Linked DNA regions of Bombyx mori. The protein of the gene in region 2 interacts with the protein of the main gene of each other region in a pairwise test. Links are inferred from orthologs where the notes say so. Each region holds a gene or a part of one and is shown on either strand. Other genes may lie near its edges.

What was found. The genes of interacting proteins can lie anywhere in the genome.
Region 1: the proteins of ras-related protein Ral-a (region 2) and exocyst complex component 2 interact in a two-hybrid assay, tested with the Drosophila melanogaster proteins (2 studies listed by BioGRID). The link is inferred for Bombyx mori from reciprocal best matches to the Drosophila melanogaster genes Rala and Sec5.

The regions. Positions count from the first base shown.
Region 1 is NC_085121.1:12,815,808-12,822,422, reverse strand, and holds the end of exocyst complex component 2, read right to left. Parts: intron 5,613-6,615; coding exon 5,425-5,612; intron 4,608-5,424; coding exon 4,548-4,607; intron 3,967-4,547; coding exon 3,882-3,966; 3' UTR 2,744-3,881; downstream 1-2,743. Other genes in the region: ATP-binding cassette sub-family C member 4, read left to right, coding at 347-585, 926-1,066, 2,703-2,726. UniProt on the Drosophila melanogaster protein: Component of the exocyst complex involved in the docking of exocytic vesicles with fusion sites on the plasma membrane.
Region 2 is NC_085114.1:15,861,961-15,869,133, forward strand, and holds part of ras-related protein Ral-a, read left to right. Parts: coding exon of another isoform or gene 1-42; intron 43-5,056; coding exon 5,057-5,236; intron 5,237-5,655; coding exon 5,656-5,816; intron 5,817-6,022; coding exon 6,023-6,197; intron 6,198-6,351; coding exon of another isoform or gene 6,352-6,402; exon of another isoform or gene 6,403-7,173.

The DNA.
Region 1 (6,615 bases), on a different chromosome or scaffold from region 2:
GAGTGCATGATATAATAGTTATAAACATTTTATGAACAGATATGAGTAGAAGGGTTATTTTGATAATATCCTGAAAAGCACCGCACGCTTTTTAGCTGTAGTCTATTTTTTAGTTGGATTTTCTGTAAAAGCGTATTTTGTTAGTTTTTTAAACTATTTTTTTTATCGAACTTCGAATCCGCTTTTTTATGTACCTCACGTGATGACATTTATCTGGGTTCCCGTAACCACTGAGCCATGAAATTGTTCAATTGTTACTACGTTTTCTCAAAATACCTATATAGGATTTCTCTCATTGATGATAGAATCAACCGTCAAATCAATAATCAATCCTGTGCCCACACAGGTGTACTTTACAAAGACGTGTCTGAAGGTGGATCAAACTTCAGTGTGGGAGAACGCCAACTCGTATGTTTAGCGAGAGCCATCGTCCACAACGACCGAATTTTAGTACTGGACGAGGCGACCGCTAATGTCGATGCTCAAACAGACTCCTTGATTCAAAACACCATAAGGGAACACTTCAAAGAATGCACTGTGCTTACCATTGCGCACAGATTGAACACTGTTATAGATTCTAACAAGGTAAGTCAGCAGGTAGCAGCATTTTAGTTGTGCCCCTGGTTTAACTGGTGGTAGGACCTCTTGTGAGTCCGCACGGGTAGGTACCACCGCCCCGCTTATTTCTGCCGTGAAGCAGTAATGCATTTCGGTTTGAAGGGTGGGGCAGCCGTTGTAACTATACTGAGACCTTAGAACTCATGTCTCAGGGTGGGTGGCGGCATTTGCGTTTTAGATGTCTATGGGCTCCAGTAACCACTTTACACCAGGTGGGCTGTGAGCTCGTCCTTCATTTTAGAAACACAAACGAACCGCTCGCTCCGTCATATATTATTGTTATAATAAAATGCTGTGTTCGATGTAGATTTTGGTGCTAGACGCGGGTCGTCTGGTAGAGTTCGACCATCCTCATATACTTCTGCAAAACAAGAGAGGGCAATTTCGTAAAATGGTGCAGGAAACAGGCCCGTCGATGTCGAATTTACTCCACAAACTAGCCTCTCAGGTACATATCGCGATTTCTACTACAAGTAGTTATTAATTACTAGCTGACCCGGCAGACTTTGTACTGCCTCAATCGATAAATAAAAGACCTAAACTTTTGTATAAAATAAACTTATAAAAAACAAAAGGAATCCGTCCAACAGGAGACACATCAAAGGAAAAACAAAATTGTTTGTTTTTATATAATTCCGAACATTTTCATATTTATTCACCTTTTAAACATTTTGTGGACTTCCACGAATAATTTAAGACCAAAATTAGACAAATCAGTCCAGCCGTTCTCGAGTTTTAGCGAGACTAACGAACAGCAATTCATTTTTATATATATAGATGACAATCGTGCTAAAAATTTGTTAAGTCATCACTACATAGTATAAAACAAAGTCGCTTTCTCTGTTCCTATATCTGTCTGTCCCTATGTATGCTTAAATCTTTAAAACTACGCAACGGATTTTGATGCGGTTTTTTTTAATAGATAGAGTGATTGAAGAGGAAGGTTTGTATGTATAATAAATTACATCCATTAAATAGCGGAGAAATCAATAATAAATTACAGTTTCCGAAGCGAAGCGAGGGCGGGTCGCTTGTTTATTATATAGCTACGTCTAACTGTTTAGCTTTTCGGTAGGCCGCAGCTTGGCTCTGCCCCTGGCATTGCTGAATTCCATGGGCGACGGTAACCAGTCACCATCAGGTGGGCCGTATGCTCGTCTGGCTACAAGGGCAACAAAAAAAAGTTTTACGAACATAATAGCGATAATAAAATTTACCAAATATCATATATACAAAGTGACGTTTTCCAGAATAAAAATAGCAAGTATTCTAGAATATTTTCAGAAACAAGTGACATCTATATACAGGTCTGGTGGGGGGAATGTAATACCCCTCCAGGCTGAGCCTTTGCTCGCCCACCTGACCTGATGAAACTGGAAAGGCCTCCGGGCCACCAGTAATCTTTCATTCATAAAAAAAAAGGAATGTAATATTTAAATGTAAAAATAAAGTTTACACATAATCGGTGAGCGCAGGTTAAAAATTAAAAGAAATAAAAAATCCCAGATAATTCCAGAGGGGTAGGAGCATTTCACACCACAAATAATATACTTATTCACTCTACAAGTCCACTATTCCTGGTCTCCAATTTTGAAACGTTAATTGCTACGTCGTTTTACTGATAAATTCGATGCTGTTTTTAAACAATTTGCTGTTGGGTACAATATATTTATATTGTCTACAATGAAAATTGTGAAATATTTGGTACGAGAACATTTCCGATACCTTTCAAATAAGGAGCTGTTGGTTTAAAGATGGTCCAAGATTAGTTACTCTGAATATCTTATGTACGTAACATGAAGCCTGTTCAAGCAGAGGTGCGGCTGGCAGTATCCAGGAATGTATTGACATTGTTCAAAATATTGGCAATAGCGTTAAGGCAGTTTCGCTATTGTAGAATAGTATCACATGACGAATTCTTATTCATTTAGCGATAGGCAGCGGCTTGGCTCTGCCCCTGGCATTGCTGAAGTCCATGGGCGACGGTAACCACTCACCATCAGGTGGGCCGTATGCCCGTCTGCCTACAAAGGCAATAAAAAATAAATAAAATAAAAACATTTTAATAGGTATTTAATTTTCAGAACTACAAGAAGAGCAAGATTTAGAAATAAAAACACATTGATTTAGATAACAATATAATCGTTTATTATGAATAATGTTATGTTATAGAAACAATAATAAAATACTTTGCTTAGTGTTTCCTTTGATTTTAAATATATGAATAAATAAATATACATTTAAAAAAAATCTTAATTTATATTGACATCTACACGGTATGGTAGAGGTGGAGACGGAGAATTAATTCATAGTGACATTTCGTGTAAATTTATCGTGACAATTTATATTGACATCTACACGGTAGAGGTAGGGTCGGGGAATGAAAGATTTAACTTTAATTTAGCGCAAGATTATGATATTTATTTTAAATTGACATAACCTTTTACTTATTAATCATAATTATACATTTGTAGGTCAAAAAAATAATAAACGTAAATTAAACCCTACTTCAAAGTTACATCGTAACAAAAATCGTAAAATCACGAGTGCATTCTTCCAGCGGCCGGACTTTAGTGATTTTTTATAAATATCGGTTAATTAACGAACTCTGTGACAGTCTGGTGTTGCATGGCACTGAGGCTCAAGAAAGAGGTGGAAGACTCAATTCTTTTAATAGTGTTTGTTATCAACACTGCCATGGTTTAAAATTTTGATCTTATTTTTTGTTTCACGAATTAGATATTAGTTATAGATGAGATTTCCTAAAATTTATGCGATTGGTTTTAAAATTTCAATCTCTCATACAAAAAAAAAGAACTTTCCAAAGTGAAATACAAAAGAAACGACATTTCCGAAAAAAAAACTTTTTTAGCAAAAGTTTTCCATATTACAGCTGATATAACAGAGATTACACGTCTTAGAAGCAAAAAAAATTGACCCAGAAAAATTTTTGCACTGTAATGTTTCAAACATTTTATAAGTCTGTGGTTTCTTGTGATTTCATGGTCTGTGGTTTGTGTGCAAATAATTCCGCCATCATAACATTTGCTACTTTTGCTAGATTTTGAAGACAAACGTCTGTCCACCCCTGTATTTTTATGCATTTAAGATTAAAATAACTATTTTCTACATTAAAATAAGACAAATGTAAATAAAATAAACATATTCGCTGTGTCCACTTTAATTCTATTCAAAAGCCATTATCATATTTAATTTCGTCATTCAAAATGAATTCTTTGATAATACTGAAGTGAATTCGTAAATTAAACTGTCTCCGTGTTACAATTCAAACTCGCCAGCTGAAGTGCCATTCGTTTCTTGAAATCCTGTACAATACTTTGCATACGTCTGTAACGCAAGAAGTGGTACGGTGAGTGATATAGTTAAAATATAATTAACTAGCGGCCCGCTCCGGCTCCGCTCGGGTCTTTAACAAAAATTTCAACGATATTTGACGTTGTGTTATTTTTAAAAATAAAAGAACGCTTATTGCGGCATGACTGTAATAGTTAGACATATTCTGTCGCGACACTTTTGTAAATAATAAGATGTTCTACAAAGTCGTAGTACATTATTTTATTCTATCATCAATAATTTTCGCAGGGCACGCGATGTAAATAATATTTTAAGTAATTTGTTTACACCTTGGGTTATATTATTGGAGCTTTAGTAAGGATCCCCAGTTTTTTTTTTCAAAAAAGATTATAGCCTATGTCACTCGGGAATAGTGTAGCTCCCAAACAGTGAAAGAATGTTTCAAATCGGTCCTTTAGTTTCGGAGCCTATTCAATACAAACAAACAAACAAATCTTTCCTCTTTATAATACATATTAGTATAGAAGTATAGATAAATAGTTCCTATACAAACTACGCCCGCCATAAAATTCTGTTCACTGCGTAATGTGAATCTGATCAATAGTTTTACTCACATTTTATCTTCTTCAAGTTCAAGCGGCGGCACGGCCGCTAGAGCCTCCTTTAAGTAGTTTCTGCAACCGAGAAGACAATTATTGAAATTAAATATTTTACGCAATAAAACATAATGTTTCTTATGACTGAAATTGTTTGTCAACGATTTATAATATACATTTTTTAGCCTTAAGAATTATCGTTCGGTTCAAATGTGTTTTCAAACCACCTTTTTTAAATAGTCAACTTTGTGGTCCAGCATCCTAACTCTGAAGATTACAGACATCAGGTCGAACAATCATGATTTCAGTTTTTCTATTTGAGGTCTATACGAAAATGTTTAATGTAAAATTTCTTTGAATTTTTTTTTATTGCTTCGGTGGGTGGACGAGCTCACAGCCCACCTGTTGTTAAGTGGTTACTGGAGCCCATAGACATCTACAACGTAAATACGCCACCCACCTGGAGATATAAGTTCTAAGGTCTCAGTATAGTTACAACGGCTGCCCCACCCTTCAAACCGAAACGCATTACTGCTTCACGGCAGAAATAGGCAGGTTGGTGGTACCTACCCGCGCGGACTCACAAGGGGTCCTACCACCAGTAAATGATCTACCACCGGATCAGAAACACAACCCACTGAGAAGGTCCGGCGAGAAACTCAGTGGGCTGTGTCTGTGGGTTAATTTACACGTTAAGCCCGTCGTCGCAAGCGACGGGTTCAACGCAAACGATGATCGGTGCTTGAGGTACCTAAAAGCAACGTTACCGGATCGAGAGGATCCGAAATTACGTGTTTAGGGCGACATCGACTGTTTACCATTCGATCCACCGGATCGGGTATTGTTCCTCTGGCCGCATCGCTAATAAAGAAACAAATGAAAATAGTTAACTGACTCTGCCTTCCTGGTGAGGTGGTCCCTGATGGCGACGGAGAGCAGCGTGTACTCGAGCGTGGCGCGGAAGGCGGCGGGGCGGGGCAGCGCGGGGGGAGCGCACGCCGCCAGCCGCGCCACCTCCTCGCACACAGTCTCGCAGATGTCGCGCACGTAGCGCCCCGCCGACGCGCCACACACGCTGTCAGTCTGACGATCGTTATTATACATAAGACGGGTGGACCAGCCTTTTTTATGATTGTGTGAATACTGGTGGCCCGGAGGCCTTTCCAGTTCCATAAGGACAGGTGGGCGAGCAAGAGCTCAGCAAGGAAGGGTGGGATTTGCTAACATCTACCCGAGCGCTTCCAAGGGAGATTTAACAACTCAAAAGTAGCTGCTTCGCGAATGAATCTGCTACCGGATCGGAATCGTGACCCACTGAGAAGATCCGGCGAGAAGCTCAGCGGGCTGATGTTTAGGTTAGGTTGCACGTCGAAATCTTTGCCGAGTTCCACAAATACGGTTGCCAGGGTCCCTAAACGTGCACAGAATCCTTAAGCTAAAGACGTCTAATGCAAGGGTTATTGGATCTGATTGGGACTGGCTCCTGCGTAATCAGGATTCGGGGAGCAGTTAGCGGCGGCGGTCTGAGGCTGACTTCATGCGTTTCCGGGTTGATTCGAGGTCAAGGTCGTCGTGTAGCTCGACATTCCTCACGAACCACGGTAGGGGGACCGCTCAGAGTGCACTCCCCGATAATCGCTTAACGAGGCGATAGTATACTATTTGCGAACCAGCTGTCCTACCCATCCTTCAAAATCGCTTACATGACGATAATAAAAAAAATATATATTCCCCACCTAAGCCATTATTTATGACTCAAACAGCACGGACAAAATAATCTAATCTAATATATAAAATTCTCGTAATATATAAAATTCTCGTAATATATAAAATTCTCGTAATATATAAAGTTCTCGTAATATATAAAATTCTCGTAATATATAAAATTCTCGTGTCACATTGTTCGTTCCCATACTCCTCTGAAACGGCTCGACCGATTTTCGTGAATCTTAGCGTGCATATCGGTCAGGGTTGAGAATCTAACAACATCTATTTTTCATTCCCCTAAATGTTAAGGGTGGTCCAACCCTAAATTTATTTTTTTATTTTTTAGACAAAAATTTTTGTTTTTATGTTTTTATGATAC
Region 2 (7,173 bases):
ATGTGTTCAGTAACGTTGAAAGAAATGGCGCATCGGTTGATGGTTAGTTCGGATCGTTTTGGGTTTTTGCAATTGTGTCATAGTTAGAAGGGACGATTCACGGTGAAGCTATTGACACAGTACGGTCATGGTCGTAATTATCTCGGTTCGCTACAGTAATCGTGTGGGGGAGCCTGATACGACGTTAAATATTTATTCATTCTGTAATGTTCTTTTTTTATTGCTCTTGTAGGCAGACGAGCATACGCCCCACCTAATGGTGAGTGGTTACCGTCGCCCATGGACTTCAGCAATGCCAGGGGCAGAGCCAAAACCGCTGCATACGTTAAGTACTCTAGCCGCTGCTTACCATTAAATACTCTAGTGTTCTTTACAAGGTGTTACCAATGAAGGCAAACTGTCATACCACCTGATCCTGGGTTCTGAAGATCACTTATCACGCAATGCATAGATGCATCTGATTTGATGTTTCAAAGCAGTTTAATAAATATCCCGTATATTCACACCCTCTCAGCTTTCCTGTCCGATCTTAATTTTGACTAGGAGACTATCGCTACTAAACGTCACAAGATGGGTGATCTTAGCTAGGGTAGGCCAATTTGAAAATTTCATAGAAACCGGTCCAGCCCTTTCGGAGATTTTAAAAATTAGCATAATTATCCCATATTAGCAACTAAATTCGGTTGTCCAGAAAAATGAATATCTCTTTCTCGTAGCTTTAGTGACTTGAAAATTTCACATATTATACAATCGAATCATAAATGGTGAGAAAAAATTTTACTCTTAATGTGGGAAAGATGAAAGTAAGTTTAATTAAATGCACTTTCCAAGGTAAAGGCTAACGAACTATCTTGCGATAAGATGAGGTGAGATAGAGTCGTCGCGGCCTAAAGGATAAGACGTCCGGTGCATTCGTGTTGAACGATGCACCGGTGTTCGAATCCCGCAGAGCGGGTACTATTTTTTCTAATGAAATACGTATTTAACAAATGTTCACGATTGATTTCCACGCTGAAGGAATAACATCGTGTAATAAAAATCAAACCCGCAAAATTATAATTTACGTAATTACTGGTGGTAGGACCTCTTGTGAGTCCGCACGGGTAGGTACCAACCACCACACCACCTATTTCTGCCGTGAAGCAGTAATGTGTTTCGAACGGTTCGAAGGGTGGGGTAGCCGTTGTAAATATACTGAGACCTCAGAACTTATATATCTAGGTGGGTGGCGCATTTACGTTATAGATGTCTATGGGCTCCAGTAACCACTTAACACCAGGTGCGCTTTGAGCTCGTTCACAAACCTAAGCAATAAAAAAAGAAAAAAAGATGTAGCGTAAACCCATCGAAAGCATAACCTGAAAACCGAATCTTGAACAAACAGGTTGTAGGTACATCCTACTGACATTGTAAATGCGAAAGCTTGTAAGAATGTATGGATGTCTATCACTTTTTCACGCAAAAACTACTGAATGGATTTTGATGAAACTAGAATAATATAGCTTATACACCAAAATAACATATAAGCTATAATTTATAAAGATATATTGTGAGTTACTCAAAATATAACAATAAGTGTCAAGTAAGTAGGAAAAATATCTGACGTCCTATTTTCATAATCAATGTTCCCGAAGCAAAGCGGGGGCGGGTCGCTATGTACTATATTTTGAGTTCTTATTTCTTTTCTCGTAATGTACACCCGTAGCAAGTCCTGTTTAGTGTTAAAAGGTTGATATCGCCCATACATTCAATAACGTGAATATTTCCATCCACTTGAAGCCAAGAGCTAGAAGTCGCTTATGTAAGGGGGGCTATCCTATCTTTGAAATCTGAACGCATGAGCGCTGTTCACACTTTCTTTGAAGCATTTTACGATCTTTTCCTGACAGTGGATTGTACATTGCGATTTATGTTGCGATATGTTAACAGTTTATAATTAACAAACGGCCCGCTCCGGCTCCGCTCGGGTCTTTAACAAAAATTTCAACGATATTTTACGTTGTTTTATCTTTTTAATTAAAAGAACACTTATTGCGGCATAACTACGCTACACTTTTTGTGAATAATAATGTGTCCTACAAAGTCGTAGTACATTATTTTATTCTATCATCAATAGTTTTCCCAGGGCACGCGATGTAAAGAATATTTTAGGTAATTATTTACTCCTTGGGTTACATTATTGGAGTTTTAGTAAGGATCCCTAATTTTTTTCAAAAAAGATTATAGCCTATGTCACTCGGGAATAGTGTAGCTTTCAAGCAGTGAAAGAATTTTTCAAATCGGTTCAGTAGTTTCGGAGCCTATTCAATACAAACAAACAAACACATCTTTCCTCTTTATAATATTAAAATAATATAGAGTATAGATTACTTTTTTGGAAAAAAGGGGGATTTTTATTGCACACATGGATGAAAGACCCCACGGCTTACCTAGTATTCGATATTAATAAAATATCAACTACCGGCCTATGATTCAAAAGTTCAATGACGAAAAAAGAATAACATTTGATACGAAGGATTTATTATTCCCAGTCACGTTTCTCAGCTAATCGCTCGTATTGACCGCTTTGTAATCTAATTCAGTCACTATGTCAGCATCTTGTGTATTCAAAGCACGTGCTGCCTTAGACAGGAGCTTGCTTTCGTCCACCTTGAAATTTTAGCAGTTTATGTATGAGTATATTGTTGTTTTGTCTGATGGGATAAGGATTTTATAGATAAACGGAAATTATAAGGAAGATTTTATTGAATGCCAGTCACCAGTGAAATTTGATTAACGATCGGAACTCTAAGTCTGCGCTCGCTACATACCTATTAGGGCATTTGACGTCTTTTTATAAGGGTAGGTGGAGAAGATGGACTTTTATATTTATGCTCTGTTCTACAATTGAGACTTTAAACACCATGTATCACGATGGACGGTACCATTCACGATGTGTCTCCGGTATCTACTTGACATCTAAATGCAAGATTATATGTCCCTAAACTGAAAATTTTCACATCACAACGCAATTTCAACCACTCTTAATCGTTCGACTGTTATTTGTGTTCGTGATATCTGAAATAAAATATGTTTTTATACATTTCATAATTACGTAACGTCAAAGTTTACGTTGCAAATAATATCGAATTTCACGCGTTGAATTATATTTGCTAATATTTTTAGTAGGCTAGTATGTACTGTGTTACGTCAGCATGCGATGCTCTTTACAAAACAATGAAATTGGAGAATTTATGGGTCGTATTGCGTGTGCTCTGTTGAGTAATATGTCACGTTGCTTTATTATATTTTATAGATGAGATTACCTACGGCCAGCTGGTTATTAGTGCGTACCTGCATAATGTATAATATTAAATGCCTACCCTCGCGTGTATTCATATGTTTGTCGCCTCTATCACTATTAAATGCAGATTAACAAATTGCAGCATGCTGATTTTATACTATTCGGATAATGCTGCTCCCTCCCATCTCTAATATTTGGTGGATCTCTGTTTTTTTTATATTACGATATTTTATTGACGGCTTGGTCCCAGTAGGCTGTGGTGCTCTTAAGATTAAGCAGGCGGTCAGCGCGCCTACGCATTTACGTTAATAATAACACAAGATCATTTGATATGGATAAATGTGTTAACGGGAGCTAAAATTTATAAACGCACTTTGATAACTCTCTGATTTTTATCAAAATAACAGTTAACGATTATCCTTCTCTATTAATTGAAGATATCACTTCCATAACGTGGTTACGTCATGGGATCTAACTGCGACTGTGAGCACATCTCCCACACGTGTCCGCTAAATTAAAATTCCTTCAAGAGTTGTCTTTGCTCTGTCGTTTTCATAATATACATTTTAAGAAGTGTCACCATGCTATTTAGAATTTTTATGATATATTTTTTTAACCATAGAAACGGGTCGGTTGCGCTTCAAGCGGTGCTGATTGCGACACAAGCCACAAAATCGGCGACATTCCCCCAAAAAAATATAGGAAATATGCTAATATTTTGTTTTATTCGGTCTTCAGGCATCATATCCTTTAGACCACTACAATTTCTGTGTTGTTTACAAACTCCTTTTTTTTATTTGCAATAAAACACTTCACCCTCCTACCAGTCAACCAGCCTACACGGTATGTTCAGTGGACCTAGATTATGAATCTAAATTGTTTTAGAAGTATTTATACACTTATCATTTTCTTGAGCGGATGTTTCAAATAAATTTGATCGCCGTATATTTAAGGTATTTGATGTGCTTGTGTTTATAGAGGAGACTGAGATGACTCGTAGAAAAACTTTGAAATTGGGTGTTAATATGAGACATTTAATGTGGATACAGACTGCGCACACATAGAGTTTGAAACGAACTCTATCATTTTTTAAGCTGTAGATATTAAGTTACAGCCAGTCTTATAAGATGTGGCAACAGGAGCCTTTAAATCTAACAAGGAGAATAATGGTTCCGTCACTGAAACCGGAAGGTGTGCTTACGTTGTAGCAGAAACAGGCAGGACTGTGATACTCACCCGTGTGGGCTTACAATAAGCCGCACTACTAGTAAAATGTGAATAAGACATTTCGTATCTTTGAATTTGTGCGAAATACGCAACACCGTCACGCACGTCACGTCCAACATGAATCTTTGATCTCTAGTTCGACGCGGGAAGGGGGAACTCAGGGTACTTCGCGCACTTAAATTCCAAGCGCCTCATACTGCATGCCTTATGAGACTTATCTTTTTTTTATTGCTTAGATGGGTAGACGAGCTCACAGCCCACCTGGTGTTAAGTGGTTACTGCAGCCCATAGACATTTACAACGCAAATGCGACACTCACCTTGAGATATAAGTTCTAAGGTCTCAGTATAGTTACAACGGTTGCCCCACCCTTTAAGTCGAAACGACTGCTTTACGGCAGAAATAGGCGGGGCGGTGGTACTTACCCGTGCGGACTCACATGAAGTCCTACCACCAGTAATAAGTATACCACCCCCACCACCACCAGTAATAGTTATCCAAAGTAAATTTAAGATTGTAATGTCGTCGAATGACTCCTTGTTGCAGTGTCCGTGTGTGGAGCGTCGTGTCGGCATGTCGAAGAAGCCGGCCGCGCAGCCGACGCTGCATAAGGTGATCATGGTGGGCTCGGGGGGGGTCGGCAAGTCCGCCCTCACCCTGCAGTTTATGTACGATGAATTCGTAGAAGACTACGAGCCCACCAAAGCCGATAGTTACAGGAAGAAGGTAAGAAGTTTTTTTTTATTGCTTAGATGGGTGGACGATCTCACAGCCCGCCTGGTGCTAAGTGTTCACTGGAGCCCATAGACATCTACGATGTAAATACCGCCACCCATCTTGAGATATAAGTTCTCCTACCCTTCCCTACCCTTCAAACCGAAACGCATTACTGCTTCGCGGCAGAAATAGGCAAGGTGGTGGTACTTACCCGCGCGGACTCACAAGAGGCCCTACCACCAGTAAATAAGAGGATACATTGTTCTGACTTTACGTTACGATCCGTCTTCACCAAAATTATAGAAAGATAGTTTTTTAACTGCATTAGGAAAGGAGTAGACTTGTCATATCTATGCTGTAATTGAGCATAACGCACATTCACCTTCAGGTCAGCCATAACGTACGCATTCATTTTATGTAATGTCCAGGTTGTCCTGGATGGAGAGGAAGTCCAGATCGATATCCTGGACACAGCGGGCCAGGAGGACTATGCCGCCATCAGGGACAACTACTTTAGATCCGGCGAGGGCTTCCTTTGCGTTTTCTCCATCACTGAGCCTGAGAGCTTCGATGCCACACAGGAGTTCAGGTAATGTAAGAATTGATCATTGGCTTCCAGAATTCATTTTCATTACAAATTGAATTTCACTCAAAAAATTCTGACTATGAAGATCTATACTCGTGATTGCGAACTAAAGATCATTTTAATATCTATAAAAGCGGCGTGATTTTCTTTACGGCTGCGGGAGTTGAATTTTGGCAGGAGTAAGATACCATACTGCCACTTCTTTACAGAGAGCAGATCCTTCGTGTTAAAAACGATGACAACATTCCGTTCCTGCTGGTCGGGAACAAGTCGGACCTCGCGGACAAGCGCCGGGTGCCGCTCGAGACCTGCAGGGAGAGGGCGCACAACTGGCAGGTGCCCTACGTCGAGACCTCGGCGAAAACTAGGGACAATGTCGATAAGGTAACTTCTTCCTTAAGCTCTAGTACTTAGAGTCTTTATAAGTCCAGCAGAACCCACATTGAGAAATAGGCCACAGGTCAAGGATACCCTTGGTAAGGTAATCATTTCTTCTCAAAATTATTTAGATGGAATTATCTTAGTTCATGTTCTGCAGGCTGCCAGACAACTCAGAATATTGGATGGATTGCGGTTTATGTTCAGGTAAGCTTTTTAATTGTTTCGGTTAGGAAGAATAACTTGGAAAAATAGAAACAGGGTTTTCTGTTACTGAGAATAGATTTGAATTAAACAGTTTGATTTTTATTTCGTGCTTCATGTGATAACGGAAGTACTAGGTGTGCTTGGCTCAATTATTTATTCTTAATAACAAGTTGTGGTATTAAACAAGAGCACAACCACATTGTATGGAAATAATAAAAACGATTATGTTAATACAAAAGGTATTAAGCGGTGAACGACTGATAAGCAGTTAATCTAGGATTAGGGTTGTCCCATACGATAAGATATATCGATTAATTATTTATATCGACTTTACGATTAGAGTGTATTAAAGAAATATAAATAGGCAATTGTAATTAATTAATTATGTGAAAGATATTTAATATCCGCCTGTCGTCATGAAAATTATTGTGATAAATATGTAACGAGGTGTGCATAGGGACGGGTTCGTAAGTGATTACTGCAACCCTGGGGGTCGCAACGATGCTGTCACTAACTGTGAAACAAAGATGAGTTCATGGAAGTGTGTGTGAGTGAGTAAGTGAGAGAGAGAGAGAGAAGTGACGTCCGACACCCATTATGCGGGCCGGCTCGGAAACGGAACACTTGACTGCTTCGAGGTAGGATTGAGTCGGACGGGGGTACCGCCCCGCGCGGACCCCAACACGCTCCACTGCCGCTACTGACGCACAGTTTTGAGGATTATACAAAGTTGACTTGAGGTGAGTACTCACAGGTGCCCTAGACTAGTTCTGTC